Caenorhabditis elegans: one gene and its partners. The protein of the gene in region 3 interacts with the protein of the main gene of each other region in a pairwise test. Each region holds a gene or a part of one and is shown on either strand. Other genes may lie near its edges.

Region 1 (7,748 bases), on a different chromosome or scaffold from region 3:
TGGGCCGGCAATTTCTTAATCACAGCGGTAGCGACGAGAGTTTGAAATTACAGTACTCTTTAGAGACGCAAACCTTTTCGCATTAAATAAAATGAAAGACTAATTTTCAATTGGTCCGTGGGGTGCAAGACTAATAGAGACTAATAGAGGAAATACAGCATATATTTTTATTAGATGGTGCAAAGTCCTATTTTCCCAGAAGATCACATCTTATTAAATTAAGATTCTCTGGTTCGCTGCCCCCTTCTCTTCCAAAGTTTCCTCAAAAATATATCCGAAGGGAAAATAAAAAATAATATGCGCAGACGATAATAAAAAAATATAGACAAAAACCCGATTCTCTAAGAGATCAAGCACGTCGATTACGTTATATTATTTTTCCCCTGTCAAATTTCATTGTTATGCAACATCTGCATGACGTCCATCTTCTGGACAAGACCGAGAGATGATATGGGCGGTCTGTACACGTTTTTTTTCTGTCTTTCAGATATCTCATCGTAATAAGCTTGCAGATATTTTTCTAGTATAGTTTTATCTAACATTTCTGACATTTTCAAAAATTTTCAAAATTGAAGCGAAAAAGTTGGTGGCCGAGTTGTTATTTATTCCCGGCCACATCGCAAAAAAAATCATAATTTACTCTGTTTTTGGAAAATTAGGTAAAAATTACTTTCAAAAACAGTAAACAATGGTTCAAAGTTGCATGTCCAGTTTTTCACTTCGTTCTTGTATACTCCCCCTGGTAAAATGTCTACTTCTATTTGTAAACTTGCTGATTTTTGAATCCTTAATAACTCAGTACCTGTAAGAGATACAAAAATATTGTCAACTATCAAAATAATCAAAATTGTCTCAAAAATATTTTGTCAGTTGACAATATTTTTCCAACTCCTATCCCAACGGAGTTATTCGTTCCATAAGAGATCACATTTTCCACAGACCACACCCCAATTATTTCCAATAAATCAGAAAATAATCAAAGTCCATTATCACTGCTTATCCCGTTAGCCATGTTTCATAGAAGGGCTAAATGATAATGGATTCTTCTTTTTTCAACATTCTCCTTCTCCTTCTTGCCTGTCGGTTTCCTTTTCCGATCCAGAGAAGAAGGGGAAACTTGTCGATTAGCCAGTTCACAAATCAAGAAATACCGGTGGATTCGGAAATTTCTCTTTCTCGAGATTTTTGACATGCTTTCGGTTTGACCCTTCTATGTGTCATTTAAGTTTTTTTTTGTTTATTTTCGTTGGAACATTTTGAAAACTAGTGTAAATCTGTTATTATAAGTTTATTCGTTTATTTAAGTACATTTTCGGTCAGTGGGGTCTAAATAAAAGTTACATTTTTGTGTCCCACTAACTTTTTAACTTTTTTTTGAGAAATTTTCAAAACGTTTCATTAAACGCGGTAGTTTTTGGTCATTTTGGGCATAAAAAGGCAAAGTCTTCAATTTAGGTACTAGAGTTTTTAATATCAGTCCGTCATTTTAGTTTTTGATTTGTTTCCTTTTTTATTTTTAGTTTGTTCCTAAATTCTGAAAGGCTATATCACTATTGTTCTGGATTCTACCAATTAAACTTTGATATAATTTCTTAAAAAATAGTTTGCTCCTAGAAATTGTAAAGTCAAAACCCTTCTTTCTATCCTGTCTGCAACTTTCAATTTTTCAATAAAAACTAAACACAGATATTCTAGATCAATTCCATATGCGAAGGCTTTTGATACATCTAGTTGTCCTTCTAGTACTATTACTAGAAGGACACAATGTTCTAGGGTTTGCAAGTGCGCCAGGGACCTATCCAGAAGAAGAAACACGAGCTGGTAATGATATGGAAGTGCCCAAAAATCCATATGAAAGCACATGGACCGGATATGATTTTTATTATGAAAAGGAGCCAAAGAAGGGTACGTTAGAAAAAATATGCAATTTTTGAAATTTATTTTCCAAATTATTATCAATTTTTCCCTGTAAATGTTGGCCGAGTTTATCTTGCACTTTATATTACGTTTCATTTCCAGATTATCATTTCTCGGCAGTCATGTAGCAAAATCAGAATAGCCTGTCAATAACTTCCTTCTAATTTTCAGTCCCACCCTCCGCAGGCAGCGGAAAAATGCCAGCGTTCCAGTCGATCGCGTCCATCTCAACAGACCGTGAATCTCCAGAAGACCCAGGAAATAGTGGTTATTTAGCGTCCGGAGCCGAATCTGGACCCAAGAAAACCACGTCGAAACCTGCAACAACACCCACTCCAGAACCTACCACTACTCCCGTAGAAGAAGAAAAAGTAAAAGTGTCGCCGAGCAGTAGTACTAAAGGTTGGTGGAAAGTTGAGTTTTGTGGCCACGTAGAAATATCTCACCTATGCACCAGAACACCTAAATAGTGGTTTCACACACACGTGTTTTATAAAACTTCACTCCAGATCCATCAAAGCTGCACAAAACCACCAAAACACCTGTCACTATCACAAATATAATATCAACCACCACTGCACCACCAGCGCCATCTAGAGCACCAGAAAATGATCCGGAATCCGGATCCGACCAATCGGAGAGCACTGATAATTTGGATTTACTTTACGGCGGGGGAAGTTCTGCCACAGCCACCGGGGAGGATAAGAAAGGTATTTGGAATAGGAAAATATAATTGAGTATCTAGAGAATATGTAAAACTAACGTTCTAAATATTTAACATCTGAAAACAATTTTCTAGTAGTGTCACATGTCACATTGTAGATTTTGTGTACTGCCTTTTTCAACTTTTGGAGTTCAAATAAAGATAGGTCTTCTGAATACATGTAGTGGCCATTGTCATCGACATATAAGCGCAAAATAGCGCACAAGTGGACATATAAGCGCAAAATTCAAAGTTAGCCAGATTATCAAACTGTCTTTAAAACCAGCACGGCACTCTACCACTAATAATCCCAACTTTTGCACAGACCCTCCCAAACTGCATGATCCACCTCCACCGCATCCATCTGCACCACAAAACCTTTTAACCCAATTGATTCAAAAGAAGAAGGATGCACCAAACAAAGGATCATCTGAGAAAAGTTCCAAATGGTCAGATGATCATGCTTCCGGGTATCCGGAGGGAAGTGCTCCTAGCGCTGAGCCATCTGAAAACCAGTATGAGCAAGATGGTTCTATTCCATCGTCGAATGACTACAAAGAGCTCACAGATGTACCAGGTACAAAGCCAAGCTCTTCAGCTTCACGTGGTTCAAATATGGCAGGTAACCCCACAGCACCGCTCACCACCACTCAGCACACTTTTGCACCAAACAGCACTGAAACATCAAGATCTTCTACTAGCAGAGGAAAGGCTCCTGGGACCGAACCTAAGTCTGAAGCTCGGTATAGCTCTCAGAATCCTTACTCAGACAACTCGAGCACCCAGAAGCCAGAATACGAATCTGGATACCCAGCGGTGTCTGGAGCAAACTCAAGAGCCCAAATTCCTAATATCACGGACTACACTAAACCATCAGCAGTGTCAATTGAATACGCATCAAGCTCGAAGGAAAGGTCTGATCCTCCATTTTCAACACCCTTAACATCTAATTCACAACATGTACTTACACAGCCAAGGCCAAGGGATTATGAAGATGGCCCGCAGGAGACAACTCGGACAAAAGCTAGTGGCACAAAATCACCTAACTCACTCCAAGCACCTCAACAAACTGCAGCACATCTCATGAAAAATGCCAGAGCACCTGGTCCGGAGCCAAGTCTTCACAGCACTACCACTCACCACGTACAAACACCAATTATCACCATAGCACCCAAGTTTTCAGAACCATCACCATATGCAGAAAATATTATGCTTACACCAAAGCAGGCACCTGGCACCGAACCTCGGTCTAACTCTCAGAACCCTCAAACAGATCGGTTAGCCTCCCAATCAGGATATGAATCCGGCGGGCCTGGACGTCCACAAAATGTTTCAATAAGACACCGAGAGAATCCAAAGGGATCTGATGCAATTTCAAGAACCGCTATTACTCCTTCTAAGATTGATTACTTTGCACCATCGTCACCAACAGGGCCAATTGGATATGAACGTCAAGTCCCGAGTTTCAAGGAAGGACCAGATCATCAATATACAAAATACTCCACGCTCAATTCACCACCTGCACCATCACCACAAGAGTCAAGCACAATCACTCACCATGTCTCCACATCACCCGACTTTTTAGAGCCATCATCAGAAAGTTCTGTGCTCTTACCGAAGCAAGCACCCGGCACCAATCCGAGCACGTCTAATAGTCCACCTGGATATTCTGAACTAATTGGCCCCTCTGGTCCCGGTAATGGTCTACCTGAAGCACCCAGTCACGCCGCACAAAACATTCCCAGAGCACACACGTTTTCAGAGTCACAAGGGTACGAACCGATGGGAAACAATGGGCCAAGTATCTTTGAGGGTCCTGGAACAGAATCTGGATATTCTGAGCCTAAAGCTCTTAGTACTGCGTCACAAAAGACTAAACCAGATGACAAGCCATACGAAATACCACGTAGCATTGAGCCCAGCAATTCGAAACCATATCCATCTGACAGTTCCTGGTCTGACCATGACAATGCTCCTGGCAGTGAGCCAAGCTACATCCCGGACGTTTTAGACTACGGAGCACGAGCCAATAATCACGCGGGCAAAATGATGAATATGTCACATGCCACGTCACCAAGCACCGGTTCACCATCTAACTCGAACAATGCGATTTCCGCACGAGACCCATATGATCACTTTGGCACTATCACTGCACCATCTGACATTCCACGTGCCAATTCAAATTTTGAAGAATACCCGGACGATGGAGGATATGACGGGACGAATGATGTGGCAATTGTGCCTTTGAGGTGATTTTTTGTGGGAAATCGAGTCCTCGATGCATCATGTTTAATCTTGCTCGAAACGCATATATCTCGGAAACTACGAGAGCTATCAAAAAGTTGTCAACTAACAAAATGTATAAAAAAGTTTGGCGAACAATTTGTCAGTTAATAACTTTTTATAGACTTAATAGTTTTGGAGAAAAATCAAGATACAATTAGGCACACACTTTTCAGAACACAGCACGGCACAAATCCTTCCACCATCACTACCACGAACACTCAAGTGAGAGCACAAATTTCAGAAATTGATCGGATTGCTGGTAAATAATATCGATATTCCAAAAATTTTTGGAAGAAAAATATGAATCTTACATTATTTCAGAATCTTTCGAGAACTCGGCGCGGGAACCTGTGGAGTATGAACAGCGAATTACTAGTGAATCATCGAAGGGAATTACAGCTGTAACCGGAAAAGATTTTATGGTTTTATTTTAAAATTTCAGCCGATTTTTTTGAAATATAATAAAAATTAAACATTACAGAAGAAGCTTGGAAGAAAGTCGCCAACATGTTGCTCATGTTGTGACGAGAAGCAGTCTGTGAGCAGAAATATTGAGACACAGGTTTAAAAAAAAGCAGCACTGTTTTAAACTTAATAATTTCTAGGCTGACCCATTGCATGTTCAACACGCAGTCGACCCATCACGGCAGTTAGGTACGTAAGTTTCCTCAAGACTCCCCCGTTGGTCACAAAAATAGGTTCGAATCCTGCCGTGGTCGAAACTTTTTTTTGCAGTCGAATCCGAGCCAGTGCAGAACTTTGTCCCTCTCCAGAACACCGTTGGAGGGAACGCCTATATTCAGCCACAACCAGTCGCTCAACAACAGTAAGTCTTTGTTTTAAATGGAAATATGTCACTTTTTTTCCAGAACCATCTACCAACAACCTTTCCAGCAATACCAACCACAGTACCCACAATCTTATCAGCAACCATCCTGCGGGTGCCAGCCACAGCCTCAAAACTGTTGTGCTCCACCTGCTCCTTGCTGTCTCCGTAAGTGACATAAATAATCCGTACAATTCATTCTTAGAACTATCTTTGTTCAGCAACAATTCCATGTTGTCCACCAATACCTTGCTGCCCGCAACCGAAGATTTGCTGTCAGCCAGCGCCAGTCTGTCTCCCTCCACCAACTTGTTGCTCGATTAACTTTAAACTTCCGACTATTCCAATCTGTGGTAGAGCCTGCCCATCGTGTCCATGTCGACGGAGAATGCACAAATCACGTCGTCTCAAGCGTCACTCAATTAACTCGAACTGTCATCAGTGCTCTTCTGCCGGTGAGCCATGGAGATCTGTGTTGCATCACCGAGAGAAACGTGCAGCTCCGGGATGCACTTCCGGTTTTTCGACGATGGTATGACGTTTCAGAGTGAATGGATAGAACTAAAACTCCACTTTTCAGAGTCAAAATTCGTGTGGCACATGTGGAGCGTCAAATCTCAGATCGCCACGTGTCAAGCGTATGGGATGTCTGCCGTGTCTGGGAAGAAAGAAGCGAGATACCGATGAGAATTCTCATATTAGAGTGAAGAGAATGGTGAGTACTGCGAGCTCACAAAAAATCAATTATCAATTTTCTTACAGGGATGTCTTCCATGCCTGGGTCGTAAGAAACGCAGTACCCTATCACAATCGGGATGTTCTCAATGTAATAGTATGGGTCATTTGTTCAATCGCTACAAGAGGAGTCTATTTGGAGGATGTTCGCCGTGTGCACCACAGGTATGAGATTCACGCCTCCCCCAACTTGACTCGAAAAATGCCTCCAATTAAATGCTAGGTGGAATTCAAATTTAGAAAGTACAATGTAAATAAGTAGCTAACAATAAGATTATAACTTTTGAATAACTTGAAAATCAGTTATGACAAAATGTATACGAAGTTCCGAGTTCCCATGTTACGCCTTGGCCAGGTGAAACTCAACATTGTAATACGAAAACCAACTCTCAAATCTTGACACTTTTCAGCAACCCTGCGGATGTGGCCGTAAGAAGCGATCGGTCACCATGAAGCTCGTCAAGAGAGCTCCGATGCAGTGTGACTCCACATGTTGCGACTTTTCAAGGTGAGCACATCTAAGTATTGACTGTAGTGTAACTAACATTTCCTATATTTCAGATGTCCATATCGCCAGAAGAAAGAAGCGCTGGTGCCGTTTATGTAGAGCTCACAGATGATAAGATCACATCGACGGGTTGTACATACCTCATAGAATCATCATATTGACTGCTTATTTCTCAGAGTGTTTTTGAAACATATTATTAATACAATAAATTGCAATAGTTCATTTTTGAAAATCTAACAAAAAAGTAGTAAGATTAGAAGGACAGAAAAGGAACCGGGTCACCCGAAATTGATGGGATTATGGGCCGGAATGATTGTGTGTGTGAAATTGGAATTATTCAAGGAAGACAACTAGAGATCGCAAGTGATTGTTTAAAAAAATATAAATAAGAAAAAATCTAAAAAGTTATGGACTATGGCTTTTCAAAAACCCATTAATTTTCATGTTCAGAAATTCGTTTGGACTACTCGACGATGCTATTTCAGACGCTAGAGATTGATGTTGTTGTTGATCATCGTAGAGTTGGAGCTGGCGTTGATAACTGGCAATTTCCAGACGGAGAGCCTGAAATTAATATCAATTGTGATCTGAAACAGGGGTGGGCTGCAAACGATTTTTCCGGCAAATCGGCAAATTTCCGGAATTGAAAACTTCTGGCAAATCGACAAGTTGCCGGAATTGAAAACTTTTGGCAAATCGACAAGTTGCCGGAATTGAAAACTTTTGGCAAATCGACAAGTTGCCGGAATTGCAAAACTTTTGGCAACTCGGCA
Region 2 (2,740 bases), on a different chromosome or scaffold from region 3:
TTCCTAATATAAAGCCTCCTCAAACTTCAATCAATCAAAACTCAGCTTTAACTGATTCATCGGGTGCATCTGTTTTTGGTCAAACCGAACTCAAAAAACAAGAAGACTCCAATTATAGAATTACATTCGATTCTACAGAATTTTTTTTCATGTTTCGTAGTAGACTTGTCTCAGAAACTTTTAGCTCAGTTTTTTGATTGAACAGGAAGCTTTTGTCTCCTAGAAAAAATTTGTTATATAATTCTGAAAACGCTCAAAATTTGAAACAAGTCCCCGACAAAACATTTTGAAAATAGCTCAACTACTGACAATTGAGTTTCCCATTGAAGGTAGGCATGTTCGCTTACCGCCTACCGCCGGCAAGGCGCATTTACGATTTTTAACAGCTTTTCACTTGCACACAAGCTATAAACCCCGCCACACCGACAAAAATGATTTTATTTAAAATCAATAATCTCATAAAAATTTTTATCATATGAAAAGTACCATAAAGTAAGCTTTCTTAGCTAGCAACCATCTTGACAACGACTTCTCCTTGTTGAGCACCAGCCGCAAACGGAGCCTTCGGATCGGTCTCATCAGCTGGAACTTCGGCGTATTGAATGACAAGCTTGTCCTCCTTCGCTGGTCCAGCCAAACGATTCACTTCGAGCTTAGCCTTTCCCTTCGCATCAACGAATCCATAGACTGGGCGAACACGATACGATTCATTGTTGGACGACTTGACTTTGAATGCCAAACGAGATTCCGATTCGGAGACAATGTAGTGAGTTGATGAACCACCAGAAGCTGGGTAGTCGCCGGATGGTGGATCGATGTTGATCATTTGTAGACTTATTTTTGAGGAGACAAAGTTGATCACCAAATAGATGTAAGGGAATGATTGGATATGGAGAAGGAAGGGGACAAATCAACATTTTGATGAACTTTACTGATAAGGAAGTTAAGGAGAGGTTACGTTTTCATTTTATTGTTATTTTGTTTATTTAAATGTATTTTAAATACTTCTAATTGTAAAACAAAAATAAACTAGTTTTTTGCAACCAATTTACGTGAAAACTGTATCTCGATAAAAATCCAATTTTCAAATAAATGAAACAATACCAAGTTTTTCAACAAAGATGAAATTTATTCAACTTGCGCTGTTCTTTCTTATTGGAATATCAACTACGGATACATCGAACAAGACTCAACAAATTTTCAAGAAAATTGGAAAACGATTCTCGCTGAGTGAACATGGATTAATCCAACGGTTTAAGTTTTATTGGAAGACTCAGGAGGATGTGGATGCTGCAAGAAATCATTCGGCTCAATTGGTGGCTCTTCACTTGTTGAGACAATCATCGAATCACAATTATAAGTTTCAAGAGAGTGCTGATATTTTGTATAGTCTGATGGATATAAACTTCGAGGGAAAGATATGCGGTGGAATGGAAATGCTGAATTTCTGTAAGTTCAACTTTTACAATTGCGTATTGCCGTTTTTGGTCCAGAATTTAAAAAAAAGATTGAATTCCAGATCAAATGGCTGAATTCTGGAAACGACAACGAGGGACGTACCGGAGAAATTCTGGAGAGGTAGGCAGTAATTTTAAACACTCACATATCATTTTATTTTTCAGAAAGTTTCCTGGAGTCCTGTTCCAACGGAGAGTATAAATGACAATATATTCCTGGTATCGTTTATGGCACATTCCACTTGGGAGTACTCTTCAAAGATATCTTATCTTGTTAAAATGGAACTTCTCGGAGAAAAACCATACAGCAACTACACACTGACAAGGATTGAAGAAGTTGGAGCATGTACAGAGTATGGTGTTACGAATCTGGAAAACACTGATATATTTTTGGATCTTCATGAAACTGACCCAGAGAGAGTTGATACAAGGAAAAAAGTATTCAAACATTTCTATGAACTATTCACAATGGATAGAGAAGAGTCTGTAATCCCATTTAATTGGCTATCTTATACCGGTGTATCTGCTGATCTCGACATTCAAGTGTGTCACGGGAGTGAGTTGAAGAAAATCGGAAAGTATAATTTTATCGATTGGTGGCTCTGGTTCCAGAAGATGTATCATCCGGTGAAAGGCGATGTAAGTATCACAACTATAAAGTTTCACAGAACATTCTTATTTTCCTTTTAAAAGCAACACACAGCGGTGCAATTGACTGGTGGAGAGTACGATCGATTTGTATTCAGAGTAACTATGAGAGTTCAAATTGGTACTTTAATAGATAACCCAGTTGAGGAATTCAACTTCAAGATTCAAGTTAGATATGTACGTGTTTGAAGGAAAAAGAAAGCCATAAAAATTGACACAACTTCAGAATGTTTATGGCGACAAAGAATGGAATATTGATAAGTTCGAAGTGATGTGCCCATTAGTTGCAGTTCCAGAGATTGATTTGATGAAGAAGCACGCAATCGCTTTTAACCAGGTTATTGGAGCAAGGTTTGTGAAATGTTATCAGCTGTGTAGAAGCTAATACTAAGGTCATCATGATAGGCAGATACGTTTTCTTGTTGGAATCCCTTGCCTATTTAGGCCCCTGTCTGTGCTCTTTTAGCGTGACAATAAATGTTTGGGGGTGGACAGCAAGGAAGCAGGTCCCCTTGAAAGCAACTATGCAAACTATTTGTGCCTACCCAGCAAAAATTTATTTAATACTCCCGCCAAAGAAATTCTCACTATCAGAAATTTGAATTTTGAATTTCGCGTCAAGGGTTTCAAATGAA
Region 3 (2,800 bases):
AAAATCTTAATTTTCGTTAGACTATCACTAATTTTATGTCTAGCTCTTTCTTCTCTTTTCCTTTCTTCACTTTCTTGGGAGTGTCGAAAGACCTCTCTTTCGATGATCAAATATCAATAATATCAAATAGTTTTCTCCTGTATTGTTAATTCCGATTAACATATTAGATGCTAATCACCTCTTATGTGTTCATTTACATATTATTCCAATCCATATAAAAACCCAAGAGAACTCAGTAGATGTATGTTTGATGTAGGATGTATGTTGATGTAGAGATATGATATAATTTCCTTCTAAAGCGCTTCGACTGATATTTTCTGTTTATTTTTATTATTTACATCAATAAATCCTTTTATTATTGCCTACCGTTATTAAAGGAAGAAAGAAAAAAGAAAGAAACTTATCCGAAAGGATAAGTGTTCACATATGCTTCGTCCATTCATTACAAAAATATAATAATTTTACAGAATATACCAATTAGTTATGTTGAACATAATGCATTCGGAAGAGTTTTTACAACAAAAATGAAATAACTCTTTTAAAAAATTATTCATTTTAATTTCTGTGACGAAGATAGATAATCTTTTCAGAAAGACTTGGTCCCATTCCATAATAGATATATTATTGATTCAGTTCTTTTTTCATTCAGTTGTTTGTGAACACAAAACCCAATAAAGTTATTCGATACTGACATTTGTCTAGTGTAAAGTTCAGTTTCCAATGTGTTATCTGCCCAACCTATCAAGAAAGAAACGCTTAACCTTTCCGTGCAGCCAATTTGACATTAAGCACTGAAGAATTATTAAATGCATACTAGAATTTAACAGGAACTAATTGACAAACAGTTTACCTTTAGAACAAAGACTAATTTCCAATCAAAAATAATTGTTTTAAAGAAGTAACTGAGCCCAAAATAAATACCCTGACAACTGTAACTAAGGAAAACAAGTCAATTATATTGTCTACGGAAAACACACAAATAAAAATGATCATATTGGGTTGAATTACGACTCAAATAGTCTATCATGCTCTTTTGATATTGCTTTTTGGTCAAAAAACAGTCCCTCGCAACGAATATACGTGAAAAGCAAATGACAAAGCCACGGATACGTGTACAATGGATAATTTATTGAGTGTCACAAGTGTTCCAAAAATCTGAAAAACTTATTGATCTAAATACTTGAGATATAACTTGATTTCAATGTTTTATTGTTGACAAGGACTGTTTTACTCTGTTTTTTTTCTACTGCAATTACTAATATTCAACGTGTCACGCATAGGTTGTGATTTTATTTTATTTTGAGAAATTCAGTGATATTTTAAGAACACGTCAAATGAAAACGTCAGACTATTACATTAATGGAAACATCGGAAAATAACAAAGGTTCGCTCGTAGAATGCGCATCGCATGTCTTACAATATCTCAAAAGATATCTGATCTGATCACTATTTTATTATCAAAATGTTCAACCCATTTGATATAACATGTATGAAACAAAAAATATTATTGTTTTAAAAAACTTTCCAATGTGACGATCATTTTCATCATACTTCAACATCATGAGGGAGGAACTGGTCTTCTGGATCATTCTCTCCCATTTGGCCTATGAGTAACACCCGTTCCGCTCCTTTAGTTTGTTTGAGCTTCTTTGTCGTTTTGAACAAGAAAGGTGACTAACAAATAAGGCAAACAAAAATATCATCACACCCTCTTATAAACTTATCGAGCGTCAAAAAATGGAGGAGGGCCAAATGCCACCAGCGCATGATAATTTAAACGTTTTATCACTTATGACGTGTGTCCTCCATTGAATAGATTGCTCAAATACTCAAACGCGAAGACCATACTCCATCAGTTTTTCAGCTTTCCATCTAAAAATAGGTCCTTTTTTGGATAAACCTATTTTTCAAAACTGTTCAAAATCTTCTTTTTATCTTATTTCTTGATGTACATTATTTTACCAATCCTTTTTTACTAACTTATTGATTTTTAGAAATAATGTCGTACTACGGAAACGGAGGATACAACGCTCCATACGGAGGACACGGAGGATATGCTCCACCACCAGTCCACGGAGCTCCAGGATACATGCCACCAACTGTTCATGTCCACACTGACGGAGGACACCACGGACATATGGACACCCATCACCACCATGACAGCCACCATCATGGAGGACACCATGGAGGACATCACGGAGGACACTACGAAAGCCATTATGAAAGCCATCATCATCATGGACACCATGGACATCATTAAATGTGATGCAATTTTGTAAAATTTTTGCACTAAGCTGTTAACCTTCCCATATGATCCTACTAACAATAAATGCTTTACAGTTTATTTGAAAAAGATTTTGCAAAAAGATTTAACAAAAAGCATAAACCATGGAAAATCTATTTGGAACTGTTATCCCTTTTTGTTTTTAATTTTTTAATTTAAAAATAACAAAATTTTCCTAAACGCGTAAAACAAATAAGCACGGCAATTTTCAGACTTCATCAAATTTATTCGGTGTAACATAAAATTCAAATAGTTTTGCCAATAGTGGGACCGTCAAGTTTAACTTTATCCAAAGCTCCATACAGCATTCTCTCACTTACAATATTTCAGAAAAAATAATTTCTTCTTGCGACTTTTGTTAAGCGAATAAATCCTTCAAAAATTAAAAATATATTGATTTTTTCAGTTCAGTTTTTTGTCTAGCTGTTTATTCTCCTTTGAAGTCTTTGAAATTTCAAAGTTCCAAATTCGAATCATGATTTGATTTGATTTTTCGTTTTGTTTTGATTTTTTGAT
Region 4 (3,512 bases), on a different chromosome or scaffold from region 3:
CCTGCTCGGCAAACTCCACCAGCTTTCACGTAGTGCGCGTTTGAAATTTGGTAATTTGAGATTAATTGATAAAGGCCTAGTGGGTTTGCGCCGCCTGCGACCAAAGAATGATTGGACAGACTAGGAATCCCAGCTGAGTGAGGCGCGAAATGCGGGCCTCACGCTGATACCGCTGTGTATTCGAATGTGTATTCAAAATATATTCAAATGCAAAAAGGCAGTTATTTGAAGCAGCCGACACTGTCGGGGTTCACTATACATTCGGATACATGCGGCTTGAGTGACGCCGTGAGGCCGGCGCGGTGACCGCTGAGGCCAGCGGATGCGCCGTTGCGGCGACTTCATGGAAGCCCTAGCACATACCTATCTAAAATACTGCGCCAGAAAGCTGACAACATTCTGGAGAAAGTATCTACACTAACTATAAGTTAACTCGTCAGCACTGTTGCCAGCTATACCGTTACCAATTTTCTTACAGGAATCGATGCGAACATCCTTATCTACATCCTACTCCTTGTCCTTCTCATTTGGTGCTTCTGTATTGCCCTGTGTCTTATTTGGATGTACGTGTGTGCCAAGCAACGAAAACACAAGATGATCAGTAAAGCTGAAGAGGAACGTGAAGCTATGTTGGCACTTTTGGAGAAAGGACACGAGACGGAGCACAGTTCTCGTAGAGCTAAACCATCGGTTTCTGTGGAAAGTGATGAGTTTGATAAGGAGTGGAAAAATGTGAGTTACAAAAACAGTTATTGATTTTTTTTCCAATTTTTAAATTGCAGATCAAACCATCCAAGTACACCCCCGCTTCTGTTTCCACTAACGAAACTAAATCCGAATTGGAGAGTGTGAAGCAACCGGTTGCAGCTACCCATGTCGCTCCTGTAGAAGTTTCAGAGTTCGAGGAGAGGCTCGATGATGATGTGGATCATAAGCCAAGACATGGAGGATATGTTAAGACGAAGAGAACTGCTGACTTACATTTTGACTGAAAATGAATAAAGTTTATGAGGGAATTAAATGGAATGTTAGTTGATGACTCAGGAATAAATTTTCGATAATTCCCAAGAGAAATGTGGTGACCCCTGGTAGCTTCTAGGTAATTGCAAATGAATTCTCGTATGAAAATGTTATAAATTGAAAAAATTCTCTCAATTTTTAGTACACGAGTACCCTGAACCTTGTGCTGTTTTCAAAGTATGTGTGTCTAGCTTCCCTCTTCGTCTATGCGCCTCTCACTTTCCGAACACATTCGCTGGTCCCACTTTCTGAACCCGCTTTTTCTCTGTTTCATGTTTTTTGAGCATCAATAAAAACAACGAATGTTTCCTACTTTTGACCAGTTTTCCGGTTTCAACTGTTCAGCAATTTTTTTCGATCTAAAGCAATAGTTTTTACTGTAATTTCTGTAGTGTTTGAAGAAAACCCCACGGATTTATGAGTTATAAAATATCAATATGCGTTTTTAAGTGTTTATTTCGACGAAATTTTTTTTACCTCTATTTTTATCAGTTTTAGAGCTCGATGAGCCGAGTAAAATTATTGAGTAGTCAGTAAACTCTTTTATCTATTTTTTCTATTTTTGAGCACCAATTTTGTAACAAAATGAAATTTAAGAATTCGGACCAATCTTTGCTTAGTTAAGCGCAATTTCAAACAATCAGCAACCCGTTTTTTATAAGTTTCAGATTCGAAATAATGGATCAACTATTTTATAATGGACCACCTGATTACGTTGAAATTGAAGACCGAGCCATAACAACTGAACCAGGAGCTTCTATACAAGCAGCTCCCGGAGCAATTTGGATGGAAGCACTTCCAGCGATTGAGGGAATCCCAGCAGGGTTGGAATACCTTGCCTACTTGGACACGGTCATGGTGCATCAAGTGAAGGAGGTTCTTGAGATTCTTACTGGATGGGAGAGTAAAAATAAGTATGCTATTAGAAATAAAAATGGACAGCAGTGTTACTATGCGTTCGAAGAATCCAACGCTTGGGAGAGACAGTGTTGTGGATCGCAACGAGGTTTTACGATGCACATTGTGGATAATTTTAACAAGGTGAGTTATGGCCTAGAGATGCAGATTTCTAAGCCATGAAGCTTGAGTTCTTATCACTTTTTAACTCCTGATTATTTCATGGGATGTGTAATAATAGGAAAACATTCCTAAAGTTTCTTGAAAATTCTTTTAAATTAAGTTTTTAAAACATTTGTTTTGTTAAGAATGTGCTCATCGTCAAACGAGAATTAAGATGCTGCGCAGACTCATTTTGTGGATGCTTGCTAGGTCTTCAAAACATATGCACCATTGAATCACTATCAACTGGCCTTCTGGGTACTGTCCTTCAAGGATATGGTTGCACGAATTCATTCTATAACATTTTGGATAAAGATGGAAATCTGATTTTCCTAGTTGATGGTCAAGGATGTTGCACAAGTTGCTGCTGTGAAGATAAGGATTTTACGGTGACAAGACTTTGCCGAATTTAAAATACTCCATACTTTTCAGATCAAAACTCCCGACAGCTCCGTGCCAATTGGCTCAATAACCAAGAAGTGGGGTGGACTATTGCGTGAAGCGTTTACCGATGCCGACACTTTTGCAGTCACCTGTGAGTTAGTCTTGAAAGTGAAAGAATAGTTGAAAGAATTTCAGTTCCCATCGACCTTGATGTCAAGCTCAAAGCGATACTGCTGGGAGCCACATTTTTGATTGTGAGTTTTTGTGCTTCTTATCCAAAATTTAATTTAACTATTACTCTATTTTCAGGATTTCGTGGAGTTCGAAAATAATAACTGATGTGGAAAAACTGGAAATCTCGCAATGCACTTCTCGCTTGTTTTCTGCGATCAGAGCTCTAATTATGAAATGATAATGTGCTTTCTTTGTATGCATGTATATTAAAATAAGACATTTTGCAAACGCGCCGTTTGCATCGCTTTGCTTCTTTTCTTCAACATCTTCAAAATGAAATAAAATAATTATAATTATATCGCACTTCCAATAAGCGTAAAGCAAGAACGATTGAATATATAACGGAGAAAACTCCGATATTAAAAATCTAGAAATCTTTTGATTAAAAATCTTTCGGTAAACTGATAAATACAAATTTGGCCTACTTTTCACCTGTATCGTTACCACCGACATGCTCTACTGCCATGCACATCTCTTCAATTCCGTGATTTACGAGACGAGAGGCAATAAAGATCACAGTTACGTTTTTTAAAGATTACAACTTTTTCAACTTCTTAGATTTTCACGAATACTTCCTTGTTGCATGTCTACGAAGCAAGCCTGCTGCCGAACCCAATTCTTTCAAAACGAACTATATTCATTTTTCAACCCTTTTTGATAAGTTTATCTTTTGTTAAAATATAAGAAAATGTCTTCGGAAGATCCTATTTATTCACAAAACGAATCACTGTTGTTAGGCAGTTCTAACAAGTAAGTTTCTTTTTTTGCACTGCTAGTGAGCCCAAGATTTTCCAAATAAAAGATTAATTTTGGCC

The links.
Region 1: the proteins of F53A9.6 (region 3) and K08E7.5 interact in a two-hybrid assay, tested with the Caenorhabditis elegans proteins (one large-scale study listed by BioGRID).
Region 2: the proteins of F53A9.6 (region 3) and ssp-31 interact in a two-hybrid assay, tested with the Caenorhabditis elegans proteins (one large-scale study listed by BioGRID).
Region 4: the proteins of F53A9.6 (region 3) and scrm-2 interact in a two-hybrid assay, tested with the Caenorhabditis elegans proteins (one large-scale study listed by BioGRID).

Annotation. Positions count from the first base shown.
Region 1 is NC_003282.8:12,571,675-12,579,422, forward strand, and holds K08E7.5 (Prion-like-(Q/N-rich)-domain-bearing protein), read left to right. Parts: upstream 1-1,693; 5' UTR 1,694-1,706; coding exon 1,707-1,905; intron 1,906-2,088; coding exon 2,089-2,319; intron 2,320-2,426; coding exon 2,427-2,627; intron 2,628-2,945; coding exon 2,946-4,869; intron 4,870-5,079; coding exon 5,080-5,165; intron 5,166-5,227; coding exon 5,228-5,328; intron 5,329-5,387; coding exon 5,388-5,468; intron 5,469-5,511; coding exon 5,512-5,560; intron 5,561-5,641; coding exon 5,642-5,732; intron 5,733-5,775; coding exon 5,776-5,900; intron 5,901-5,953; coding exon 5,954-6,264; intron 6,265-6,312; coding exon 6,313-6,447; intron 6,448-6,494; coding exon 6,495-6,632; intron 6,633-6,877; coding exon 6,878-6,975; intron 6,976-7,028; coding exon 7,029-7,074; 3' UTR 7,075-7,196; downstream 7,197-7,748. Other genes in the region: K08E7.6 (Myb_DNA-bind_5 domain-containing protein), read right to left, coding at 7,381-7,539.
Region 2 is NC_003279.8:13,217,227-13,219,966, reverse strand, and holds ssp-31 (Sperm-specific class P protein 31), read right to left. Parts: upstream 827-2,740; coding exon 503-826; downstream 1-502. Other genes in the region: ZK1225.5 (FSA_C domain-containing protein), read left to right, coding at 1,122-1,449, 1,520-1,578, 1,623-2,096, 2,151-2,282, 2,332-2,456.
Region 3 is NC_003284.9:8,713,004-8,715,803, reverse strand, and holds F53A9.6 (Spore coat protein), read left to right. Parts: upstream 1-1,999; coding exon 2,000-2,260; downstream 2,261-2,800.
Region 4 is NC_003279.8:13,233,669-13,237,180, forward strand, and holds scrm-2 (Phospholipid scramblase), read left to right. Parts: upstream 1-1,679; 5' UTR 1,680-1,698; coding exon 1,699-2,061; intron 2,062-2,225; coding exon 2,226-2,468; intron 2,469-2,511; coding exon 2,512-2,614; intron 2,615-2,658; coding exon 2,659-2,717; intron 2,718-2,772; coding exon 2,773-2,802; 3' UTR 2,803-2,995; downstream 2,996-3,512. Other genes in the region: ZK1053.2 (uncharacterized protein), read left to right, coding at 479-732, 783-992.